5 linked regions of the Canis lupus familiaris genome follow. The protein of the gene in region 1 purifies or fractionates together with the protein of each later gene. This does not show direct contact. Links are inferred from orthologs where the notes say so. Each region holds a gene or a part of one and is shown in the gene's direction. Other genes may lie near its edges.

The links.
Region 2: the proteins of MAPK8IP1 (region 1) and MAPK9 purify together in Homo sapiens (affinity purification with western blotting; 4 studies listed by BioGRID and IntAct, counting the BioPlex papers as one, with this or other methods). This does not show direct contact. The link is inferred for Canis lupus familiaris from reciprocal best matches to the Homo sapiens genes MAPK8IP1 and MAPK9.
Region 3: the proteins of MAPK8IP1 (region 1) and AKT1 purify together in Homo sapiens (affinity purification with western blotting; 3 studies listed by BioGRID). This does not show direct contact. The link is inferred for Canis lupus familiaris from reciprocal best matches to the Homo sapiens genes MAPK8IP1 and AKT1.
Region 4: the proteins of MAPK8IP1 (region 1) and MAP2K7 purify together in Homo sapiens (affinity purification with western blotting; 3 studies listed by BioGRID and IntAct, with this or other methods). This does not show direct contact. The link is inferred for Canis lupus familiaris from reciprocal best matches to the Homo sapiens genes MAPK8IP1 and MAP2K7.
Region 5: the proteins of MAPK8IP1 (region 1) and MAP3K7 purify together in Homo sapiens (pull-down; 3 studies listed by BioGRID and IntAct, with this or other methods). This does not show direct contact. The link is inferred for Canis lupus familiaris from reciprocal best matches to the Homo sapiens genes MAPK8IP1 and MAP3K7.

Annotation. Positions count from the first base shown.
Region 1 is NC_049239.1:43,957,786-43,962,739, reverse strand, and holds the start of MAPK8IP1 (C-Jun-amino-terminal kinase-interacting protein 1), read left to right. Parts: upstream 1-1,628; 5' UTR 1,629-1,678; coding exon 1,679-1,779; intron 1,780-4,954. UniProt on the Homo sapiens protein: The JNK-interacting protein (JIP) group of scaffold proteins selectively mediates JNK signaling by aggregating specific components of the MAPK cascade to form a functional JNK signaling module. Required for JNK activation in response to excitotoxic stress.
Region 2 is NC_049232.1:1,732,543-1,736,758, forward strand, and holds part of MAPK9 (mitogen-activated protein kinase 9), read left to right. Parts: intron 1-1,941; coding exon 1,942-2,124; intron 2,125-3,342; coding exon 3,343-3,467; intron 3,468-4,216. UniProt on the Homo sapiens protein: Serine/threonine-protein kinase involved in various processes such as cell proliferation, differentiation, migration, transformation and programmed cell death.
Region 3 is NC_049229.1:72,716,802-72,720,900, reverse strand, and holds the end of AKT1 (RAC-alpha serine/threonine-protein kinase), read left to right. Parts: intron 1-441; coding exon 442-529; intron 530-2,038; coding exon 2,039-2,141; intron 2,142-2,252; coding exon 2,253-2,332; 3' UTR 2,333-3,067; downstream 3,068-4,099. UniProt on the Homo sapiens protein: AKT1 is one of 3 closely related serine/threonine-protein kinases (AKT1, AKT2 and AKT3) called the AKT kinase, and which regulate many processes including metabolism, proliferation, cell survival, growth and angiogenesis.
Region 4 is NC_049241.1:53,000,140-53,005,148, forward strand, and holds the start of MAP2K7 (dual specificity mitogen-activated protein kinase kinase 7), read left to right. Parts: upstream 1-1,764; 5' UTR 1,765-1,857; coding exon 1,858-1,981; intron 1,982-3,745; coding exon of another isoform or gene 3,746-3,793; intron 3,794-5,009. UniProt on the Homo sapiens protein: Dual specificity protein kinase which acts as an essential component of the MAP kinase signal transduction pathway. Essential component of the stress-activated protein kinase/c-Jun N-terminal kinase (SAP/JNK) signaling pathway.
Region 5 is NC_049233.1:49,886,630-49,891,033, reverse strand, and holds the end of MAP3K7 (mitogen-activated protein kinase kinase kinase 7), read left to right. Parts: intron 1-1,518; coding exon 1,519-1,699; 3' UTR 1,700-3,372; downstream 3,373-4,404. UniProt on the Homo sapiens protein: Serine/threonine kinase which acts as an essential component of the MAP kinase signal transduction pathway. Plays an important role in the cascades of cellular responses evoked by changes in the environment.

The DNA of each region.
Region 1 (4,954 bases):
CAGCTGAGGCAAGCACACACTCTTAAGCAACAATTATTAACCTCTAGGCCAAGACCACTTCCTGGAAGCAAAAGCCAGGCATCTGAGCAGAAGGTGGCTACTGTTTGGTCCTAGTGAAAGGAGGCTGAGCCAAGATAGCAAGAAAGGTAAAGTGGCCACTCCTCTGGGCCCACAGGCAGGGAGAAGAGCCTTTGGCAGTAGGTAATGGGATGTTCTTGGGGCTGGAGGTGGGGAGTTGTTTCCTGCAGGGCACGTGACTGCAGCTCCTTTCTGGGTGCTACATTGAAGGAAAAGGGAGTGGTGTGACCAGTAGGCAGTCCAGATTTGCAAATAGGATCCCACAAGCTGTGAAACAGTTTGCCCCTTCTTCGGAAAGAAGTAAGGACAGAGCCTCCGCAGTTCTCAGGAGGCCAGAGAGACCAATGAGGTTTGGTCAGAGGCTCTTGACCCACCAAAGCTGGGGCCCTAGCCTTGCCAGCAGTTTGAGTGTCCAGCAGTCTGTGTTCTGTAAAAGAACTCACAGGCTTAGCCCTCGTAGGGGAGAGACCAGAAAGGAACTGTGGCCCCAAACTAGCAGGGGTAGAGGTGCTGGAAGGAACAGAAAAACCATAAGAAGAATCCCAAGAAGTCAACCATGGCAGCAGGAGGAAAAGTGGCTCCTACTCTTAGAATGTGGGAAACCAGCTATGGGGTGTCTGTGGGTGCAAATGAGAAGTTCTCTGCAGGAAATGCAATTGAGAGAAATCTGGGAAAGTCCTGGTGTGAGGGAGGAGAAACAGAGAAGCCTAGAGAAAGGTTCAGTTCCCCATTAATAACTGGGTCAATCTTTAGAGAGAAAATCTTCTAGGGAGAGTCCATGAGAGGGTCTCCTCAAGGGGACAGGACTGGGTGAGACCTGGGTTCTAGGCAGAGGTGGGGTATTCCCTGCCGCCGGTGACAACATATTTGTATTACTTTTCATCCTCACAACCACGAGAGGGACCATTACTGTCCTCATTTCACAGATGAGAAAACTTAGGATCCGTGAAGTCACTAATGCAAGGCCACACCACCTATTCACTTGGGAAGCCAGGCTGTGACTTCACACCACCTGACTCCAACCCCGGCTTGCCCTGGGAGCCCACGCCGACACCATGTCGCCTTCCTCCTCCTTCCTCCATGGCCCTCCGGTCCTGCCCGCCTTCTTTGTCTGCTGCTGGGGGCCACTAGGGCCCAGGGGACCGGGTCCCGCCATTAGCTCCCTCATGCCCGGGCGCCAGGCCCCCCCGAGGGCGCAGAGCCCGCACCGCGCGAGGGCTTTGCGGGAGGGGGAGGAGGGCGGAGGGATCCGCGTGGGCGCGGGGGCCGCGGGGGCCGCCGCTTCAGCACCTCGGAGAGCGCCGGGGCGGGGCCGGGGCGGGGCCGGGGCGGGGCCGGGGCGGGGCCGGGGCGGGGCGCACGAGACCCCGGCGAGGGCCCGGGGACGCGCGGCGGCGCTCGCGCCAGTCCCGGGAGCGGCGCGCGGTCCGGAGCCGCGCCCTGCCCTGCGCAGGTGCGCCCGCCGCGCCCGCCCCAGCCCGAGCCCCGCGGCGGCGGCGGCCTCTCCGCGCGCCCGCCTCCGTCCCCTCCGCCGCCGCCGCCTTCGCCGCCGCCGCCTCTGCGCCGCGCTCCGCCCGGATGGCCAGGGCTGTGCCGGGGAATGGCGGAGCGAGAGAGCGGCGGCCTGGGCGGGGGGGCCGCGTCCCCGCCTGCCGCCTCCCCGTTCCTGGGGCTGCACATCGCGTCGCCGCCCAATTTCAGGTGAGAGTCCCCGGCCGCCGCGCCCCGCCCTTCGGCCCGGGTAATCTGCGCCGGCCCCCGCCGCCCGCCGCCCCCCGCCCCCAACACGCACACACCGACCTGGGGAACGCAGGGGCTGCGCGGGGAGGGGGTCTCCTCCCTGGGCAGGGTCCCCAGAAACCCCCTCAGCCCCCCGTCCCGCCGGATAGCCGCTGCAGAGCCAACGGTGCGGCTCCCTCCGCCATTCCATGCCCCAGGCTAGGAGATTCTAGAGGGAACTGGAGGGGGGGGCGCAGAGGCCGCCTTCTCCCCCACTTTGGGACTGCGGCAGGGCCTGGGGTCCGGATTGAGACAGCGGAGGAGGCAGGCAGGCTAATGCTCTGCTTCTGCCCAGTCCACAGGATTCTGAATAGACATGGGTGCGGGGATGGGGTGCCTCGTGGCTCCCAGTTTCTTGGGGCAACTGACAACCTTGGTGCCGGAAGGAGGAAGTCGTGGGCCCCTCCCCCAGCCCTGTCTGGTCAGAGGGGCCTAACTCCCAGGACTGGCATGGTCAGGACCCCTGTGGACTTGGGTGGGCAAGCACTGACCTGGTCAGGTGTGTGCAGGCACGGAAGGCTCCGACCCATTCAGGAGACACTACGCCCAGCTTTGGTTGAGGGAGTCTGGTTTGGACAGCCCAGGAGTAGCCAAGGACACTGGGTGGAAGGTTTCCCTGCTGGAGCAGGTCCCCAGGACCGTGGTCTGAGCTCCCTTTCTCCCCCCTCTCTGCCGGTTATCTGCTATTAGGCAATTGGGAGGTGGATTTTAGGGAAGTGGGCAGTGGGTGTTGTGGGCAAGGGATGGATATCCCTCCACCATAATCCTGGCCCCATTTGGAGAGGAGGAAGAAGACAGTGTAACTGCTCCAGAGCCTAGGAGGAGGCCTAGACGTACCCCATTGTTTCTCCATCTAATGAGCCGGCGCCTTCCCCTCTCCTGGGCCCCCCACCCCAGCCGGGCCCCAGCTGGGCTCTGGCGCCAGCCCCTCTCTGACCAAGGGGTTGCTGGCTCCCTGGCCCTCAGGTGGGTAGGAACCCCTGAGGATCTCTAATGGCATCAGCAGCAGTAGAAACTTCCCTTGAGGCCCTGAGCTGAGAAGCTGGGAAGACCAGAGGGAGGGGACCAGATGGAGGAGGCCAAGTGTGAGGGCTCCAGGGCCGGGGCCTTTGTGATTGGTGCCTCTTGAATAATGAGGCTGAGGTCTGAGACCAGTTTCCCCTGGCCAAGCTGCCAAGAGGCAAATATTGCCTTCCTGCTGGGAGGCCCCTCTGCAGTGGAACAGCTGAGAGGGACCTGGGTTCAAATTCGAGCTCCACCACTTGCTAGCTGAGCGACCTGACAGTCCCATCTGACAGGTGAGCTAATATTGATTCCTTCGTGTGCATCAAGTCGGTGCTCAACAAGTGTCTGCCCTCCATGCTGGTGAGCATTTATATAGCTCATCACTGCTCGGAGCTTTCCCAGGGGCAGGCTCGTTTACCCTCATGGCCGTGGGGGTCGGTCTGCCCATTTTATAGATGACAAGATCGAGGTTCAGCAGGCAGTGGTTTGCCTGAGGACCCCGCAGAAGTCAGAGCCTCGGGCCGTCTCTGGGTGTTCAGTCCACTCGGTCGCCAGGCCCTGTCTGTGGCCCGGAGGACAGCTTTGCCTCCCTCCACCTGCTTCCAGACCCCCAGGTGACAGTGCCCTCCCCTGGCAGGCAGGTTATCCTGGATGCTTTAGTGAGAGGGACTGATGAGGTGGACGCCAGCCAGTGAGTATGCACTCTGGGCCAGGTGGGTGAGAACAGCAGTGCGCCACGGCCAAGGCGTGGGCCAGCCCTCCAGGACACCATGGCCTGGCCGTGGGGACAAGGGCAGCTTCTGGAAATAATAAGGGCAGTGTCTCCGGCCCCACGTGGCCTGCCCTGCCTGCTCCAGCAGCCCCCGCTGACCTTTCCCTTGTCCTGCCTCGCCTGGCCCCTCACCCAGCTCGGGATAACCCTGGGTGTTGCCGCTCTCTCGTGGTCATGGATCCGACTGGCCTGGGTGTGCAGGCTGGCTCAGCCTCCTTAGCTGTGTGCCCCAAGACTGTTGGCTCCTGCTCAGGACGGTCCTGGGACTTGGATGGGACACGTGTTGAGTGTTTCAAGGGCTGCGGAGAGCTGCGTTCACGCAGGGCTGTGGTTGTTACTGTGTGTGTGCCCCCAGCACTGCTGTCAGCTTCCAGAAGGCATAGGAGGCAGTCCCTAGACTTCGGCCTGCCCAGTGCCCGGCACAGAGTAGGCGCTCAGTAATGCTGTACTGGGTTATTATGAAGGATCAGTTGTGCGCTGTCCTCCTGGAGCTCAGAGCATAACAGTGCGTGTTGTCAGAGGATAAGGGGGTGGGGGGGACGCTGGCCCCGGGGAGGCGCTCACTTTGCCCAGCACCCTCCCAAGGGCTTTCTACGCAAGAGCATCCTCACCAGGGCTGTATAAACAGAGCGTTACTATTATCCCCACTTTGCAGATGAAGAAACGGAGGCAGACAGAGGCTAGGGTGGCAGAGGTGGGGTCTGAATGCAGGCAGTCTGGCTTCAGGGCCACCCTGAAAAGGGGGAGCTCTGGAATAGCGGGGGGTGGTGTGCAGGGAGTAAGCACGGGGTGGACGTGGAAGCCGGAGAGGGAGCATTTGTTTGCTGCTGGTTGGTTTAAATAGACAGGTGTTCCTTCTTTGCTCCCCCTTCTGATTGTAGAAATGCTCCATCCAGTTACCTGCAGTTACCTCCAGATGTGGTATCGGGGGAGGGATTTCACTTATTTTACGCACTTCTATGATCATTTGACATCTTACTTCTGCAAGGAGCATAGGTCACTTCTGTAACTTCCAAAATTAGACAAGCGAATTTAAAACTCAAGTGATACCTGTTCATTGTAAGGAAAACTCCAGAAAAGAGACTTTAGAAACGTACCCAACGCATACACTGAGCTGGGTAGGTGGGATAAAGGGGAGGGACAGTGGGACGGTGCCTGTGGGGCGACGCCGGGTGCCCATGGGCAGTCCAGCGGGCAGCCCGCCCTGGACACGTGGGAGGAGAGCCGTGGATGAGGGGACCTCAGAAACCTCCTCCTCCCCGCCACCCCTCCCCGTTTACTGAGGGGGGCGCAGGAGATGGCGAGTGGCAGACCCTGGGC
Region 2 (4,216 bases), on another chromosome or scaffold:
AGGAAGAAGTTGATATATTCTAAAGAGAAATAATTTAGAAATATCTACCTAATGTTCAGTCTCAATTCATAGTCATTTTGTGTCTTTCTTTTTTTTTTGAATTAATTAAGAAATGTTTTCTTCAGAAAGTACAAAAACTGGATACTTTTTGGTGGATTTTTAAGCAATTTAAAATCCTTCCTTACATATTAGCATCTTGCAGTATTGGTAATTGATAGTTTTATATATAAGGCCATCTAATGTCATTCTCAAAATACACACAGAGATTAACATCATTTTGCAAAGGCAATTTTGCCCACTCTTTCAAACAGTAGATTAAAAACTGCTAGGATGGAAAAAGATTCTGGCACCAAGATTGCAGTTCTCTGAGATTTGCTTCAGATGCATGACCTGGGATAGAGGGGGACCTCCTGTGGCCACAATAGCCCAGCAGAGGGAGGGAGCTGCAGCCAGCCCTCCTCCAGCACATGGGGCGCCATGCAACAACCTTCGTGAGTCGGGGCCTCCCCAAGCCTTGCTCCTGCTCAGTATAACCAGAGGCCCATAGCCACCAAGGGACAATAATGCATGCACACAGCCGGAAGACCAGCCAGCCTTGTTGGGTTTGACTTTTCCTTTCCCACCTGCCCTGAGTCAGTCTACAGAAATGACCCTTTATCGTGAACACACTAGACATTGAGCGCCTACCCACTTCTAGGCTCCCATCTGACTCAGGTTCGAAGAGGTCATGGCAGCTGCTGCATGGAAGTCCGGTCGACTGTCCCAGCAAGAATAGAAGCAGGAGATGAGGGACTGTTTTGGATAACCCAGGGGAAGGGAGGGTGGCGAGAAGGGCTGGAGGGCTGCAGGAGTCTGCTACAGCTGCACGCAGGAAATGAGGGAGTGAGACAGGAGAACATGCTAGTTACTCCAGAGGCCAGAACCCATCTCGTGAGCCTGTTCAGTGAAGCAGGAGAACATGCGTTACTCCAGAGGCCAGAACCCATCTTGAGAGCCTGTTCTCGTCCTGTGTTCCTTCACAGTGATGTGACTGTTTTTCTGAGACAGACCTCAATCAGATTTTCTTTTTTAACTTTTGAAAACTGCTTTTTAAACATTGCTATTTCCATGATTTCTTTTTCCTACATCCTTTTGTATAATTGTTTACAGTCTCAGAATTCCTTTCCAGTTCATGATGCCAGTTATTATGCCAAGCCCCACCTCTGGAAAATAGGCCACGCTTGTATTCTCACATTTTATGAACAAGTCAGATGAAGAGCCAGGGAAGACTGGGGGCCTGGCACCTGCTGTGCGGCAAGTGTGGTGGAGTCTGAAACCCAGGGCATGTATTTTGAAAGGAAGTCAGATGCGCTCTGGGTCCTGCAATGACAATCAGAGAATGACCTGCAAAGTTGTCCATCTAAGTGCAGCTCCAGGGTGGCTCACGGCCCTGTTGGAGAGGACAAGGCTTGGGCTCCAAGAGCCCCAAGCCCCAGCTCATGCACTGCACCGGGCCTTTGCTTCTCCAGGCGTGAACCCAGGACTCTACTCTGTCTACTTCAGGGAGCTTTCAAATTTAAGACACCTTGGTGTGAAAATTGATTTTGGTTTGCCTAAGTCATCTTTACCTAATTTCACCTTTAATCACTTCTGTCACAGGTAGTCTTTAGTAATAAGAATAACTATGTTGATCTAGAAGGGCATGGCATACATCCCTCGAGGTGTTGGTCTAATAAACTGTGATCAGAGTTTAGAAAGGTGCAGAGGTTTTAAAAGTAGTCTCAGAAACCCACACTGTATTTCAATATTATTTCAGAATACCTGTGCTGCCCCAGTGGGGTAGCCTCGTTAATCACCTGTTGGCAGGTAGAAAGAGGATTTTAGCGTTTCTGTGAATGATGCTACTCTGTGTAATGCAACCGTAAGGTCCTTCAGTTATATTTTCCTCAAGAGACTTCTTAGATATTGATCAGTGGAATAAAGTCATTGAGCAGCTGGGAACGCCGTCTGCGAATTTTATGAAGAAACTCCAGCCAACCGTGAGGAATTATGTAGAAAACAGACCGAAATACCCTGGAATCAAATTTGAAGAGCTCTTCCCAGATTGGATATTCCCATCAGAATCCGAACGAGACAAAATTAAAAGTAAGATGCCCTTCATTTTCCCTCATACCTGTTTCTGCAGCCTGACACCCCTGGACGTGGGGAGATAAAATAGTGGAAGCCCTCAAATTGAGTGAGGTACAGGTGAGCCTGAAGGCTTCTAGACCTAAAAGTTCTGTCCTCAACAGAATGGCCTCATGGAAACCTTTGGTCAAAACAAAAAGGTTCACGTCAGTCTGAAAAACTCATGTTAATTATAGCAATTGGAATTCACACAGTTTTCAGGTCCATGGAACACTTGAATTAAGATTCTAGCCCATAATTGATTAAAAAAAAAAAAGTGGGTGCCTCAGTGGCTCAGTGGTTGACCATCTGCCTTTGGTCAGGTTGTGATCCTGGGATCAAGTCCCAGATTGGCCTCCCCACAGGGAGCCTGCTTCTCCCTCTACCTACTTCTTTGCCTCTTTCTCTGTGTCTTTCATGAATAAATAAATAAAATCTTTAAAAAAAAAAAAAAAAAAAGCTGCTTCTCCCTTTCTCCTGTGCCCGTCACCAAAAACATGATTTAAAAGAATAAATTTCTCTCCACATCAGGGTAAACTGCCTCGGTCAGAAAAGCTCTGTCTCTCCTTTGCCTACCCATGTGAACTTTAATTGCCTAAACCTATGTGAGCCTTACATTTGACTAAGTTACTGAGCTTGTTGGTTTTTTTCTAGCAACTAACCTCTAGATTTTTTTTTAAGTGTCTGTTTCCAACATTATATATAGCTGTGGTCATAGCGGAGGTATCTGTAAAGTATTCTATGGTGTGCAAATGTGAGATTGTTTTATGGCTTAAAAAGCCTGTTCTAATTTTGTTTTGATGGGCCATCAAGAGAAAAGCCTTGCTCATGCTCTGTGCCTGCACTCCAGGCAGCGCCATCCTTATCTCAGCTCCCCTGCCTGCCCTGGTGGCAGCATTCCCCGGGCACCATGTCAGCCTCTGGCTGGCCTGTGTCCACCTGGTACCCTTTTCCCAGGCCCTGCCACTCCTCCCCTCCCAGTTCCAGAGGCAAGAAACCTGAGTTGGAAGACCAGATTTGTAGTGAAAGTGCCTCCTTGGCTTATTCTTAAAGAAAAAGCCTCAGCTGATCCAGAACCTATCAAAAATGTCAAGTTTTAATACATCTTTGTTCTATCTGTACTGTCACATTTTCTCTGTGATTTTCTATGTTTCAGCATTAATTTATTAATTAATCTGATATTTGTTTTCATCCTAGCGAGTCAAGCCAGAGATTTGTTGTCAAAAATGTTAGTGATAGATCCTGACAAGCGGATCTCTGTAGATGAAGCTTTACGTCACCCTTACATTACTGTTTGGTATGACCCTGCTGAAGCTGAAGCGGTAAGCATCTGTTTCGGAAAGACTCGTGTGTAAAGGCAGGGAGTCCGCTTCCTTGGATCTTCTGTCGTTCCAGAATGGCCTCAGTAAGGATAGCAAGTTCTAGATTTCAGAGGACTCCCGAATACAAAGAGGCCAGGGGTTGTCCAAGACCTGGCCTGCTTCTGGGACCTTTGCTCTGGGGCTGTCGCTCAGTGTACTTTAGGGGTGGACATGCTTCTGCTGTGGTGATAGCATTGTCTTCCTTTATGCAGATGCTGATGTATGAGTGTAATAACACGGTTTACTAAGCCTCCATCGTGTACCTGGCAAGGTGCCATGTGCTTTGCCTATAACACCTTGGTTAAGCCACCCCCTCAGAGAGGCTTAAGAAACTTGCTGAAAAGCACAAGTTTATTTATCCTTTCCCAGAGGCACTTGCTGGGCGAGTTCCACTTCCGAGCTCAGTGTTCAGGCGCATTTTCCCTTAGCAGCACCAGCATGGGTGATCTCTGGCTGTAAGCGAGATAACTGGCATAGGGGTGGGCTCATTTTAGGGCTGGCCTGTAGATTTTTTTTTTTTTTTTTTAGTTTTTTTTTTTTTTTTTTTGGCCTGTAGATTTAACCACCACAGAAACATAACGTTTCATATGAAAGTCCCATTTATAATAAGCATGTGATTTTTAAGGAAATTTTTGGGATGGCCCAATGTGAGCTGCGGATTGGGTACAGGGGCTCTAACATGAACTGTAAACCTGAGCTGGCATGTCCTT
Region 3 (4,099 bases), on another chromosome or scaffold:
CCCGCGGCCCTGAGCCAGCAGGGGGCTGGTGGGCCACCCCACCCCCGTGCCCGTGCCCCCCAGGGACAGCGGGCCAGCCTCCGGGCCACGCTGGTGGCTGATGTGTGACGTCCTCGGCCAGGGCCGATGGGGACCTCGCAGCCTCTCACACCTGCTCAGGAAGACCCTGCCCTGCCGGCAGCACCTGCCTCCCCGACGTCCTCCTCGTGCAGGAGCCTGGCCCATGGCCTGGTGTTGTCCACTGCCCCCAGGGAGGCAGTGCCATCCCCCGCCCCAGGACCATCACCCTCAAACCGGCTCCCCTCTCCCGTGCCCCCCAGCCCCAGGCTGTGCCCCCTGCACCGTCCTCCCTGCTGCCCCGAGACCCCAGCAGGAGGAGGGCCCGGTGAGGGGCCCGAGCCCTGAGCCAGGCATGGCAGCCCCTGACGTGTCCCTCCGCAGGCTCGGAGGGGGCTCAGAGGACGCCAAGGAGATCATGCAGCACCGCTTCTTCGCTAGCATCGTGTGGCAGGACGTGTACGAGAAGAAGGTGTGTGGGTGGCCTGGCGCATCTCCCCCCTTCCCACCCCTTCTCCAGGCTTACAGGGTCTGCACTGCGGGATTTCCTCCCAAGCCCCGAACAGGGTCCTCCCGCAGGGTCCTCCCTCGGTCCAACCCCCAGAGGGAGTGTGGGGGCGTGGACTCCCCGAACCCGGCGCCCTGTCAGCTTTGGGCCTCAGGCTTCCCCGTCCCTGAGGCTGCCCGTGAAGCCTGGCAGTGGAGCGGGGGCCCTAACCCTGCCCTCCCACTCTCTCCACTTGTCCATAGTCCGTCCTGCCGCCCTGAGCACGTGGGATCGGGGCACAGCACCCGCTTGCCTAGCGCATGCAGGAGGCCTCCCAGGAGCGAGGCAGCTGCCGCTTGCCCCCATTCCTCTGTCCTTTGCCCTCTGAGGGACTTGAGGGGCGCAGTGGCCCAGCAGGTCAGGAAGCCTGGACCAGGGCGTGCTGCACACCTGTCACCAAATAGACTCCCACCTGGTTTCCATTCTCCCCTCCCCTGCAGGCCGCACACACCGGGTGGGCCTCCGCCCTGTCTGCGAGACGGGGCGCCCCCACCCTGCTCAGCTCCCAGCCACTACCCTGCCCTGAGGTCTGCCACCACCGGGCTCTGCCCTCCGACAGCCCAGCTGCTGCCCAACCTTGACCCCTGCTAGCTCACGAGGGGCAGCCCTGGAGTACTGCAGGGCAGTGCTTGCTTGGGGGGCCCTCCCACGGGCACGTCCCCTACAGTTCCCCCCGCAACCTCCGCGGCCTAACTCAGCCAGCTGCGCTGTTGTCCTGGAGCCACCAATGAGGCCAGCCAGGCCGTGCACTCAGGACTGTCCCTTCCCCGTTGTGCCAGGCGAGGCCCCAGAGAGCTCATGCAGAGGAAGGCCTGGCCTCCTCTCCTGGTGGGAGGTTGGGCAGGGAGGGCCCTGGGAGCCCTGTGTGGATCTGGGGCATGTCACGTGCACCTCATACCCCAGCACTGGCTGCTTCTTGGGTCCCCCTGAGGCACTGCATGGGAATACTACTCACTGGCCCTGGTGGGGGGTCCGGGGGCCGTGGGGATGGGCCTGGCCCTTTATCATGAATGATCAGAGTGGAAGCCCCTGGCAGCTGGGCCAGTGGCTCTCTGGTCAGGAAGGGGTGTGCACGGCACCCAAGGATGGGGCTGGGAGCCCATCCTGGCCTGTGGAGTCCCTCTTCATCTCCTTCCTACCTCGTCAGAGAACCAGAAAGTCATGAAAGCTAGAAAAGAGAACGGACTTGTGGCCTTCTGCGCGGGGGCCTGGGCCTGCAGAGCCAGCCAGCTGCGGGGCCAGCTGTGGGGTGGCCGGGAGCCTGGCCCGGTGGGCCCTAGTGGCGGGGCCGCGTGTGCAGGGCCCGGGCCGCCCCCTCTGTGCGTCTCCGTGCCAGAGCCCCGTTCCCGGGGGTTCCTGGAGGGGGAGAGCTCAGGCCCCAGGGGCAGGGCAGAGTTCAGCCCCTAACCTGCCGCCCCTAACTGCCCCCCACAGCTCAGTCCGCCCTTCAAGCCTCAGGTCACGTCGGAGACAGACACCAGGTATTTTGATGAGGAGTTCACGGCCCAGATGATCACCATCACGCCGCCCGACCAAGGTGAGGAGGGCAGCCCGCCCAGCTCCCTGGCGGGAGGGCCTGCGAGGCCGGCCTTCGGGCACGGCAGCCGTGCTCCGGGGTCTGAGCGCACCTCCCGCCCACCGGCTGCAGGTGACAACATGGAGGGGGAGGACAGCGAGCGGAGGCCCCACTTCCCGCAGTTCTCCTACTCGGCCAGCGGCACGGCGTGACGAAGGCCGGCTGGCTGCGCCGCGCTGCCCACCGCGCCGCCCACCGCGCCGCCCACCGCGCCGGCCCCGGGTCGGGGAGGAAGCCTGGCAGGACCGTTAGGATTTCGTGTTTAGTTCTGGATGCACTGGGAGGAGCCGCGCCCTGCTCCGGGGATGGGAAGACCGGCGGCCCCGAGGAAGGGGTCCTGCGCGCTTCTCTAATTTATTTCATCCGGGTCTCCAGACACGGCCTTGGCCTTCAGAACGATTAGCCTCACATAGGAAAAGGCTGAGGACCTCGCGCAGCCACGCGCCTGCGGCCCCCGTCCCTCCCGCCGGCTGTCCTGGCCCAGCCTGGCCGTGGCACGCTGGCCTGGTCCCCTCCCGGGGCAGGCCAGGCCGGGCTCGCCCGAGAGGCAGAGGAACGACGTTGCAATCCGTTGCTGTGTATCATGCTATTCACGTGCATCTTGGGGTTTTGTTAATCTTAGTGACAAGAAAGCCCCTCCCTCCCCCCCTTTTGTCCCTTTGGGGCCATCCCACTTCGGTGGTGTCCCAGGTATCACGTGTCCTCCGGAGCAGCTTCACTGGCCCGCCGTGCGCCCAGTGCCCTTCGGAGGGGCCTTCGGAGCACCCTCCGCGCCTCGCGGCCCGACGTTGTGCTGCACGGGGGCGCTTTTTACATTCAACTTTACTATTTTTACTATTATGAAACTTTCCCTCCGAATTCTTCAATAAACACTGCTTTTCAACTTTGTGGCTGGTTTTGGTGGGTGGCGGGTAAAGAGTGAGGCGGCCGGTGCATCGGGGGGGCGCCCCCAGATCAGCCTACCCTCTGAGGGAAGACGGCCCTCCGTGGCAGGGCTCACGCAGCGGGGACATGCCCCGGCAGTCCACACGCCCAGCCGTGTCACCCCCGTACAGTCCAGGAGGCCTGGGGGAGGCCACGCAGCAGGTCTGGGACTGCCAGGTAGAGGGGTGCAGGTGGCCCAGATGCGGCCCAGGAACCCAGTGGGACGCGCTGCAGGCGCCACCTGGTGGATGCCCGGTGGTCGCTTGCTCAGAGCAGAGCCAACTGTCCACCAAGTGCCTGCGAGCCTTGGCTTCCTCGCCCGGGGACGCACCCCTGCAGGTGTGGCCGGGACGCCCGGACGTTTATAGGTCCTGGTGCATAGGCCTGGAGGTGGGGGTGAGGGCCCCTCCGTCTCTGGACTCCAAGGTGATCCCAGGTGGGGTGGCTGCCCCTCCTGCTGGAGGGAGCGCCGCATGGGGGGCACATCTGGCGTAGCCCCCAGTCACAGGAGTACACAGCTTTTTTAGAACCACAAACACACAAACGTTACATAGTATAGGGAGCTTTAGAGGTAAGAGAAACGGGCATCCCATCTGAACCCCGCGCACCGTCGCTGCGATGTGAAGTGGTGCGGCCGCTGGGAGCAAACTACGGCGGTTCCTCAAGACATTAGACACAATTAAGGTCGTTGCACTTTAGGTACACTTCACACCGTGAAGAGGAAAGGCAAAAGTCCATTATCGGAAATAATAGGAAATCCAGTGAGATGCTTCCATTGGCCTCAAGCTTGGAGCAAACAGTGACTGCAAGTGGCGGGTGTGGGGGGATGAGGGAGGTGCCTGGAGCCGCTGCCAGGCGGCTCACCTCTTCCCACAGGGGATGCGGGGTGCCGTTGGTCCCAGGACAGGTGTCAAGGTCGAGGGCATGGCCATGGCACCCCATGGGGGGTGCTGAGGAACGAATGAACGCCCTGAACTTGCGGGGGGGAGCAGTAG
Region 4 (5,009 bases), on another chromosome or scaffold:
CAGAAAAATGGTTCTCGTGTTTGGCTATGCATCAAAATCAACATCCCCAAAACAAAACATCCTGGGCCCCACCCCTGAAAGACTGACTCAGGTCTGGCTGGAGGCCAGGAACCTGCCTGCAAATACACATCCCAGGTAATTCTGATGCAGGTGGTCCTAGACCTGTGTGTTGGGAATTGCGGACCTACAGAATCTGCAAGTCCAGAGCAGGGATTCTGAACCCTTTCTAAGTCCTACACCTTTTGAACATCTGAGAAAAGCTGGGTGTTTCCTTTCCCAGGAAAATGCTCAGGTACACATACATGCAAAGTTCCGCAAGCAACTTTAGGCAGTCAGCAAATTCCCCCAGATTTCCCAGAGGGCCATTCACGGACATCCTAAGGATGGCAGACTCCAGTGTTAAGAATGCCTGCCGAGGAGGTTAAATTTTTCTGAGCAGAGGCAGGGATTTTGTCTTTCCAGTGTTTCCTGTGTGAGAGAGCATCTACCAGTGGGTGCTTAATAAATAATCTGAATTATGAGAACTAAACTTCCGATCTCTGGTATCCACTCCTGTTTGTCTAAGCCTTCCATTTCGCCAGACCAATAACAGGCAAGCAATGACACTCACATGGCGGAATCAAGGGTATGAGTTTCTGTCCTGGAAGCAGAGGCAGGAGAGACCTCGGCTTATCAGGCATCATCTGCGTAGCTATTTTTTGGAGAACTCTCTTTCTTCTCCATTCCTTATTATTCTCCGGACTCCACACTCTCGCATCTGTTCCACCCGCAAATTGTCACCACGGGAGTCCCCACAAGCCTTCCGCGCCCGCCAGTGTTCCCGTGCTGGACCAGGAGCAGGAAGGGCATAGGGCACAGCCTGCCTGACCTGGACCTCCCGGGCCTGGACACCTCAAGGAGTCTGAAAAAATGCGAGCCTCTTCCTCGCAACTGAGAGCAGACGCAAGCTGCTTTCCGAAATCCAGGATCCCAGATGGGGGCATTTTCCCGGGCGCCCACAGACCAGTTGAGCCGCGAGGAGACCAGGCTGAGGCGCCCTAACATCCAGGCCCATCTTCCGCACTGTCCAGGAGCTGGGCTCACATTCCGGGGTTGGGAAGATGAAAGTCCTAAAATACCCCATTTGAGGGGGCTGACCTGGAACTCTTCTGGCCCTGCCCCTCACCCTGTCCGGAGATCAGGGGTCATGCCCCTGGTCCTGGGGCCCCTCCAGTGACCGAGCCCTACCCTGCCCCTCCCGCCAGCCCTTGGCCAACCCCGAGTTTGCTGAAATAGAAAGGGCTCCCCACGGGCGCCTAATTATGGTGAAGAGACAGCAATTAAGCCTAACAGGGATCCTAATGAAGCACTGTCCCAGACGAGAAAGGCAGTGCTGGGAGAGCGTGGGTGCCAGAAAACAGGCCGGGAGGGGAAGAGCGAGAACGAAGCTGGGGAGGACACGCTGCAAGAGCTACTCCCAGCAACAGGGGCAGAGAAGCGAGCCAAGGTTGCGCAGGCGCAGTAAAGGCCGCGCGCGGGATCGCGTCCGCGCCTCTGCACGCAGGCGCGCCGCTCTCCCCGCCCGCCGCTCTCGGCCCAACAGTGTGAATGGATTGCCACACGCAGTCCGCGCATGCGCACCACCAGGAGAGGCGTTGCTCGTTGCCAGACGCGAGCTCTAGGTGGCGTCATCCCTCCAGCTGGGAAGAGGCACGCATGCGCGGACGTTAGCACGAGGGATGGGCGAGTGCGCGCCGCGGGCATGCGCCGTGCGGGGAGAGACGGCGGCTCGGCGGGGTCATCCAGGCGCAAGCGCAGTGCGGTGTTTGTCTGCCGGACTGACGGGCGGCCGGGCGGTGCGCGGCGGCGGCGGGGAAGATGGCGGCGTCCTCCCTGGAGCAGAAGCTGTCCCGCCTGGAAGCAAAGCTGAAGCAGGAGAACCGCGAGGCCCGGCGGAGGATCGACCTCAACCTGGATATCAGCCCCCAGCGGCCCAGGCCCAGTAAGCACGGCAGCGTGGGGGAGGGGGCGGGCGGGGCGGGGCGCGCGCCGCGGGAGGCCCCGCCCCCGCCGTCAGGCCCCGCCCCCGCTTCCGGGGCGCTCTGGCTCCTCCTCCTCCCCACCCCATACCCCCTGCTGTCGGCTCGCGCGGAGAGGGTCACGGTGACCCGGGGGGCGTGGGGCCGCGGGCTCCCGGGCGGCTCTGCCCCCAACGTAGGGGTTCCCCCTCACGGGGCCTACGAGCCTAGTTACCCGGCAAGGCCCCCCACCTGACGGCCCGCCCCCTCCGCGGGATCCTCAGAGCCTATGTCACCGTCACCTACCCAGAGCCGGAGCCGCGCTCCCTCCAATGCATGCGACTGTGACCACATCCAGGTTCGTCGCAAACACGGACACGTCTCTTCCGACCGGACGACTTCACTCCTGCCATCTCAGTGACTGGCAGGAGGCCCCTTTCCCCTTCGGCACCTGGGTCCCTGTCATATGGTTTAGTGGGGGATGCGCTCACACTCACACACAAGCACACTTGGCCCAGGTGACACCTGAGGTCATTTGATCACTGTAACTCCCTATTCCTCTGACCCCCTTTCCTGTGACTGTGTCTGGTAATCCCTTTTTCCCCCGGGCGGGGACCTTGTAATTGGGCCTGGGGGGCCCCCCCTCCCACGCACACCCTACCCACATACACCAGGCCCCTTCATACTTCTCTGACCCGTTTCACTGCCACCATCTTGGTGACTGTCTAGCTTCTCAAAAAATACACACCGAACTCTCAGCTTGGCAACTTTCGCCCACTGGACTCGAGTGACTTCCTCTTTCCTGCACGCCCACACTCACCTGGCCTAGGGATACCTGAAGCCAAGGTGGTGATATCTAGACCTCCCAGCCCACACACACCTCGTATCTGATCCCACTATCTCTGTGTATCTCCCTGCATCTTGTTGCCTGGAATCAAAAGCTGCCTCCTCCTGCCCTCCCCCACCCAACAATCACACCTGACCTGGGATTGCCACGACCACTGGACCACTGTCTAGTTTCTTTGTTATGTCCCACTGAACCCCCCTCCCCAAATCTCTCAGCTGGAGGGCATCGGGTCTTCACCCTCCCCACAGACCTGATGGGTAGCACCTCATCACGCACTTTGTGTCTCTCTCTTGAGCTGGCAAATTGCCCTCCTTTGTACTTCTGATATGATCCCTGTAGCTTATGTAGCTCCCTGTGGGGTCATCCTGGTAGGAGGGGGAACACACCCCCATGTCAGAGTATTGCAGTCACTCCCCGCTCACCCAGCCTGATCTTCACGGCCTGACTGCCCCCCAGTCCCTGGGTGCGCTTCACTCCCCATCTCTCTCTCTTCTGATTTGGGGTGGTGTGGGTTCCTCCCTGGGGCAGAAAGGCCTCCCAGGACTGGAGGGTCCCTGCTGGGCTCTGCAGTGCTGCCTCCCCTGGCCCCAGCATGGAAGAGACAGGGCTGGGTCTGGGGCCAGGGGTGCCTTACAGGGTGGCTGTCCCAGAGTGAGGTATGGTGAGGCCCACGGCGGGCAGGCCCCTGAGGAGCCCCCTTCAGGTGTCTGTGTCTGTGTCAGCTCCATCTCATCCTCCCGGTCCTCCCATTTCTGTCGGTTTCTACCCGTCTCTGCAGTTTGGTGCCTCGCGCCTCCCCCTCTTCCTCGTTATGATTTGATTTCTTTTCTTTTGGACAAATCAGTTGTTTCTGTTGTGATTTATCGTGGTGTTGTTTTTTTTCTTCCTTTTCCCCATCCAGTTATTGTGATCACTCTAAGCCCTGCTCCTGCCCCGTCCCAACGAGCAGGTACCAGCCTTTTTATCATCGTCGCTTGGACATCTGCACCATTGACCTAACCGCTGCCCCGCCGCAGAATGCCCTCCCCCCCACCCCCCATGCTGTGTGTGCGTGTGTGCGCCTGTCACTCTTTTCTCCTTCCACACAATCAGTGATCAACAGTGTTTGGCCCACTTGGCCAATTCTGTGTCCGCTCACCTTCCACTCCTCCCTTCCTGGCGGGCTCAGGTTTGGACTCCCTGGAAGAGGAAGTGGGCTCCTTTACTGACCAGGAGTCTGCCGCCTGTGAGAGGTCGCACGTGTGAGTGAGCGTATGAGAGAGAGAGAGGGAAAGTTGGGCTAGGCCATCGGGCTGTGCCTGTTGATTTGTTTCAACCGTACAGCCAACATGTACTGCCCTGCTCTAGGGACACAGCAGCGAACAGAACGGACCAAGGGCCCCTCGTTGTGTGGCTGACGCTCACTGACAGCATTCTCCTGGTCTGGGAGAAGTGGACAAAGCAGTGATGCTTTGTAGAAAAGGCAAAGTAGAGCCAGCTTGGGGTTCTGCAAGGGGTGGTCAGTCGGGGAAGCCTCTAGAGCAGCTGGGATTACAGCACAGGCTCGGGGGAGGTGGGGAGATGTGAATGAAGGTAGAGGAAGCAGCCCGCCGAGGCCTGAGGCCGGAGCGCAGTTACTTGCGGGTCTGGAGCAGATGGGGAGGGTGTGCATGTGTATATGTGAGAGAGAGAGTGTGAGAGCAAGAGAGACAGACACCTGGGTGAGGTCTGGTCCAGTTGGCCCTTGTGTAGGGGGAGCTAAATTGGGCAGGTTGTGTGTGTGTGTGTCTGTGTGTGTGTGTGTGTGTGTGTGTGTAAGACAGCGTGAGGCTGGCCCTGTTCAGGGCTCTCGGCATGTTGTCTGTACACGTGTGGGGGTTTGTGCCATGCGCTGTGTGTGTGCGCGTACATACGTGTTGGACTGACAGCCTGGTACATCTGTGGCTCCTTTTGGCCATGTGTTTCCATGCGCTCTTGTTCTCTCTCTCTCTTTCTCTCTTGTTCAGCCTCTTGCTCTCACTGTGCCCTCCTGACCTGCCGTGTGGCCTGTCACCACCTCTGTAACCTCTGTTCTCAGGGCCTTTGTGTACTTCCCCTCCCCCCACCTTAGCCACCCTTCACTGGTCACCCTCAAGTACCCACCGTGTTTCAGTTTGTAGGACCACTGGGAGCATCTCCCTTCCCGC
Region 5 (4,404 bases), on another chromosome or scaffold:
GGTGTTTCATGTTCTAAGAATTTTGAAACCAGAAGCTGGTTAGATTTATAGTTACAATGATTTATTGTTTCCTTAGACATAGGTAAAATAATTTGATTTACTAATGTTCAACTGTACTTTATCTTAGAAATGTTTTATTGATATAGTCTTTCCAGGTATATATTTAGGAGAGTAGGATTACTTTATTTTATACCCATGAGTGTTTTTATAAGGTGTTTTATACTCACGCATATGTTTTTCTGAGAGTTATTGAGTTTGCCTTCCTCTCCTCCCTTTTTTAAGAAAATCAATTTTCATGCTCCTTTATTTGAAATTCTTAAAAAAAAAAAAACAAAAACTTAAGTTTCTGCATGGATCCTCATTTTAGAGGGAACTGAAATGAAGTGCTATAGGAAAAAATCATGGCATGGTAATAGGATTCCCTCTATTGATTTTAATCTAAATAAGTGAAAATTTCTTGCTTTCTGAAGTAATTTGTGGAAAGTTTCCGTTTGTACTTCAAAAAAAAAAGAAAAAATAGCTCTATCACAACTTATTGTTAAATGATTGCAACTCTACCTTAAAGGCTCTATAGGAAATAAATATTTGAGTCTGCAAATTGTGGAGCTAATTGTAGAACTGTTGACACTTTATGTTTTTTAAAAAAAACCTCTTACTTTACATATTTAGTCTATACTTTTTTCCTTTTTTATTCATTTGAACGAGGAGTTGGTTCTGTGCTGGAAAAAGAAATGATAGATTGAGGGAATGCGAAAACTATGACAATTTTAATCAATTTTATTTAAATACTTTGAGAAATACTACAAGAAAATCATCTGGAGGCTCTTCATTAATTATTCATTTATATCATTAATTAATCACTTATAACTTCACTTTAGGAGTTAAAATTGAACATCTCCCAAATAAAGGGGTCTTTAAAAAGTTTATCAGGCTGTAAAAGTCTCTAATGGTCTTCCTGAAAATGTTTGTAAAAGTAACTCATTCGAAATTGGTACTTTGTATTGTTCTCACTTTTAAAGTAGGAAATAGATTTAAGTTGATAGCATCTATTTTAATTAGCTTGCCAATGTTTTATGAGCCCCCACTTTGTACTGTAGTTAAATAAGATGTAACTTCAAACATAAATAAAAGTTCACGAGTGTAAAAGTGGAATGTGAATGATAAAACATGTTATTTTCCTGTGCCTAGAGCCCTTCCCCAGCCTTTTTTCTTCTTCTTACACAAAGGGGATACCAAGTAAAATGTTTTGAAACTTTTGTTATGCCATTTTATCTGCGTTCATTAATTATCTAAGTGCAGTTACTTACAAAAGGATCGTGGTGTGGTGTTCGTGTGGGTACACCAGAAGAGTGGGTAATAGTTTCCATTCTAGCCTACAATTATATTTGAGTAGTGTACCTAAAATGTGTAACAGTCAATACAGAAAGCCCTAACAAGCCAAGCTCATCAGTTACTAAGTATGGATTTTTTATCATGTACAAGATGTACAATATTTTATTATGTGGTATTTGTTTTTAGGCAAGAACTAGTTGCAGAACTGGACCAGGATGAAAAGGACCAGCAAAATACATCTCGTCTGGTACAGGAACATAAAAAGCTTTTAGATGAAAACAAAAGCCTTTCCACTTACTACCAGCAATGCAAGAAACAACTAGAGGTCATCAGAAGTCAGCAGCAAAAACGACAAGGCACTTCATGATTCTCTGGGACCTTTAAATTTTAAAATATGCAAAGACAGACTTCTTTTTTTTTTTTTTTTTAAGGAAAGAAAAGCCCTTATAATGACAATTCATGAGTGTTAGCTTTGGGCGTGTTCTGAATGCCAACTGCCTATATTTGCTGCATTTTGTTTCATCGTTTATTTTCTTCTTTTCATGGTGGACATACAATTCAACTGTCTCCTTACATAACATGGGGGCATCTGTGACTTGAATAAGCAGCAGTTCTCAACTTCAAAACAGATGCAGTGAACCATGGCTGTACATGCATGCTCATTGTGTGAAGGCTAGCCTAACAAAAACAGGGGTTATCAAACTAGCTGCTATGTGCAAACATCGTCTTTTTTTTGAGGTGGAACCTCAAGAATGATTTTGTTCTTGTATCTCATCTCAGAAAACAATTTTTTTTCCAAAAGATGGTATATGCCAAGTTGAAGACAGGGTATTATAAATCTAGAATAATTGGTGGTACATTATAGAAATGCAGAATCTTTAGGGACAGTTGCAGGTAAGGGCTCTGACGCCAGCATCCTGCAGTCAATGCTGAGCTTAGTTCCACCCATAAAATATTTAAAGGTAAGTGGCGGCTGCTGTATGTAATAAAACCATATTTCATTGGACTAAAATTTGACTATGATACATTGAACAAAATGGAACCCTTTTTTTTAAGATACAAAGATTTTTAATTTGTGATTGCGTGTATGTGTGTTGAAACTGTAAAGATTTTATGACTCTAGTATTAATATCTCTTAAATGAAATTAAAAGGTAAATGAACACGATCCATCTTAAATGATCATTCCTTCCTGCAATGATTATTGGATTGTTTTAGTGTATATTTGAAAAAATAAAGAGAAATAGTGGAAAATGGAAATAATTGCTCCAGCCAAAAGGCTTGGGCTTAGATTCCTTTTATGAAACCAAAAGGGGTAAAAAACCTGGCAAATCAGGAGAAGTTAGTAAGGAAACTAAAGAAGTCAATATAAAATTCATCAAGTATACTATTTATCAACATTGGAATAATTGATTTTCCTTGCAAGCCCATCCTAGAATGCCTGCTGCCTTTCAACAGTTTTAAGGGAATTTCGACACTTATAAAGAGAAAATTTATATTGTTAACAATAACTTTGCTACCAACTTTGAAAATAAAAGTAATTAAAGAACTTCATTGAAATAATAGACTATATAAGCTCTATTTTTTCAGTTGGTATTAAAATAAATCACATTTTGGTACCAGTACAAGGTGTCTTTTAAACAATGATGTCATCAACCTCATTTTTATAGCATTAATGTTTTATGAAGAGAAAATTAAAAATGAAAGCATAATTGCTGTGATTATTAGAATTATATCATGATTGTATTGTAGTTTTGCTCTGTTTCAGATAAGCAAGTTGATCTAAGAAGTTATCAAAACTATTCTTAAAAATGCTAAAGCAGGTAACTTTTTCTTCTGTTATTTTTTTCCTCCTCCCACTGAGTTTTATAATGTATTCCTGTGTATACAAGCAATAAAGGTAAAAGACAGTTTGTACTAAACTGTGTCCTTTTTAGCTTCCTCAAAATCTATTGTTAGAAAGTTTCCAGTAAGTAGATGTCTACCATTACTTTAAAAAAAAAAAAAAAGAAGGGCTATCATTCCCAAATAATTTGATTGCCTAGCTGAAAGTGATACTGGTCTCAACACATTAATAGTAAAATAAAATTGGCACAGAAAATAACTATAGACTAAGGAAAAGTAGAACTCTTTCATAGCATTGCTGCTTGTTGATATATGTGTGTCACTCCACCAAAAGGGACCTAGTCAGTGTTCAGAGACTTTTCTGATTATCTCAGAGCATGAGATATTCAAGTGTGGATGCTAATGCTTGACCTTTCCATTAGGATTTAGCACTATAGATTTCAGCTTTTATTTCAAGTCATGAATGTGTTTTTGCTCTATATTACATACTTAAAGGGAAATTTAATTGTTATCACATGTAATCACTTCATAAAAATCTCAAATAGGAAAATGGAAGAAAATAGTAATGTTAAGTCATGGTGCCAAGTGCAAAAAAAGGTTGTTGAACACTTGCTTGTTTGTTTACAGTAAGTTCCTAGGGATTCTCACACTGTAATTGCCCTAGATGCTGAGAGTAGTTCAGCCTAAAGTAGTTGTGTTGCAAAGCTCATACTTTTTATAAGTCCTTGATTGTCCTTGATGGGAGAAAAGGACAGCAGGGATCATTAAAATCCACCGCCAGTTTTAACCAGCATCCTCACCCATCAAACCTTTAAAGAAATTTTAACAAGGAGCCAAATATTTTATGATTCTGGTTTCACTTTTTATTCGAAGCCTCATTTTTGGTTGGAAATGGCGAACAGACAAGCAAGTGGCATAAAGGTCCCCATGTAGGAAATTCACAGACAATCCCTGATCAATCCCTAATTACATTTCATTCTTTCCTCGAGGGAAAGAAAACAGAAACTGCAAAATTAAAATCAACTTTTTTTGAGTCAAATGAAAATCATTTAAAATTATTTACTTTATAACAACACCACAAATTGAAGAGATTTGCTTAAAAGTTGTTTACATATGTCTCACTCTTTTTGCTGAACCGGTTTAGAGTGTTTAATGTGTTTTTTTCCTCCCAAGTTTCTTCTGTGTTCCTAGTTTCAGCTCCTGCCTGTAGCCAGAGATCACAGGTCTTG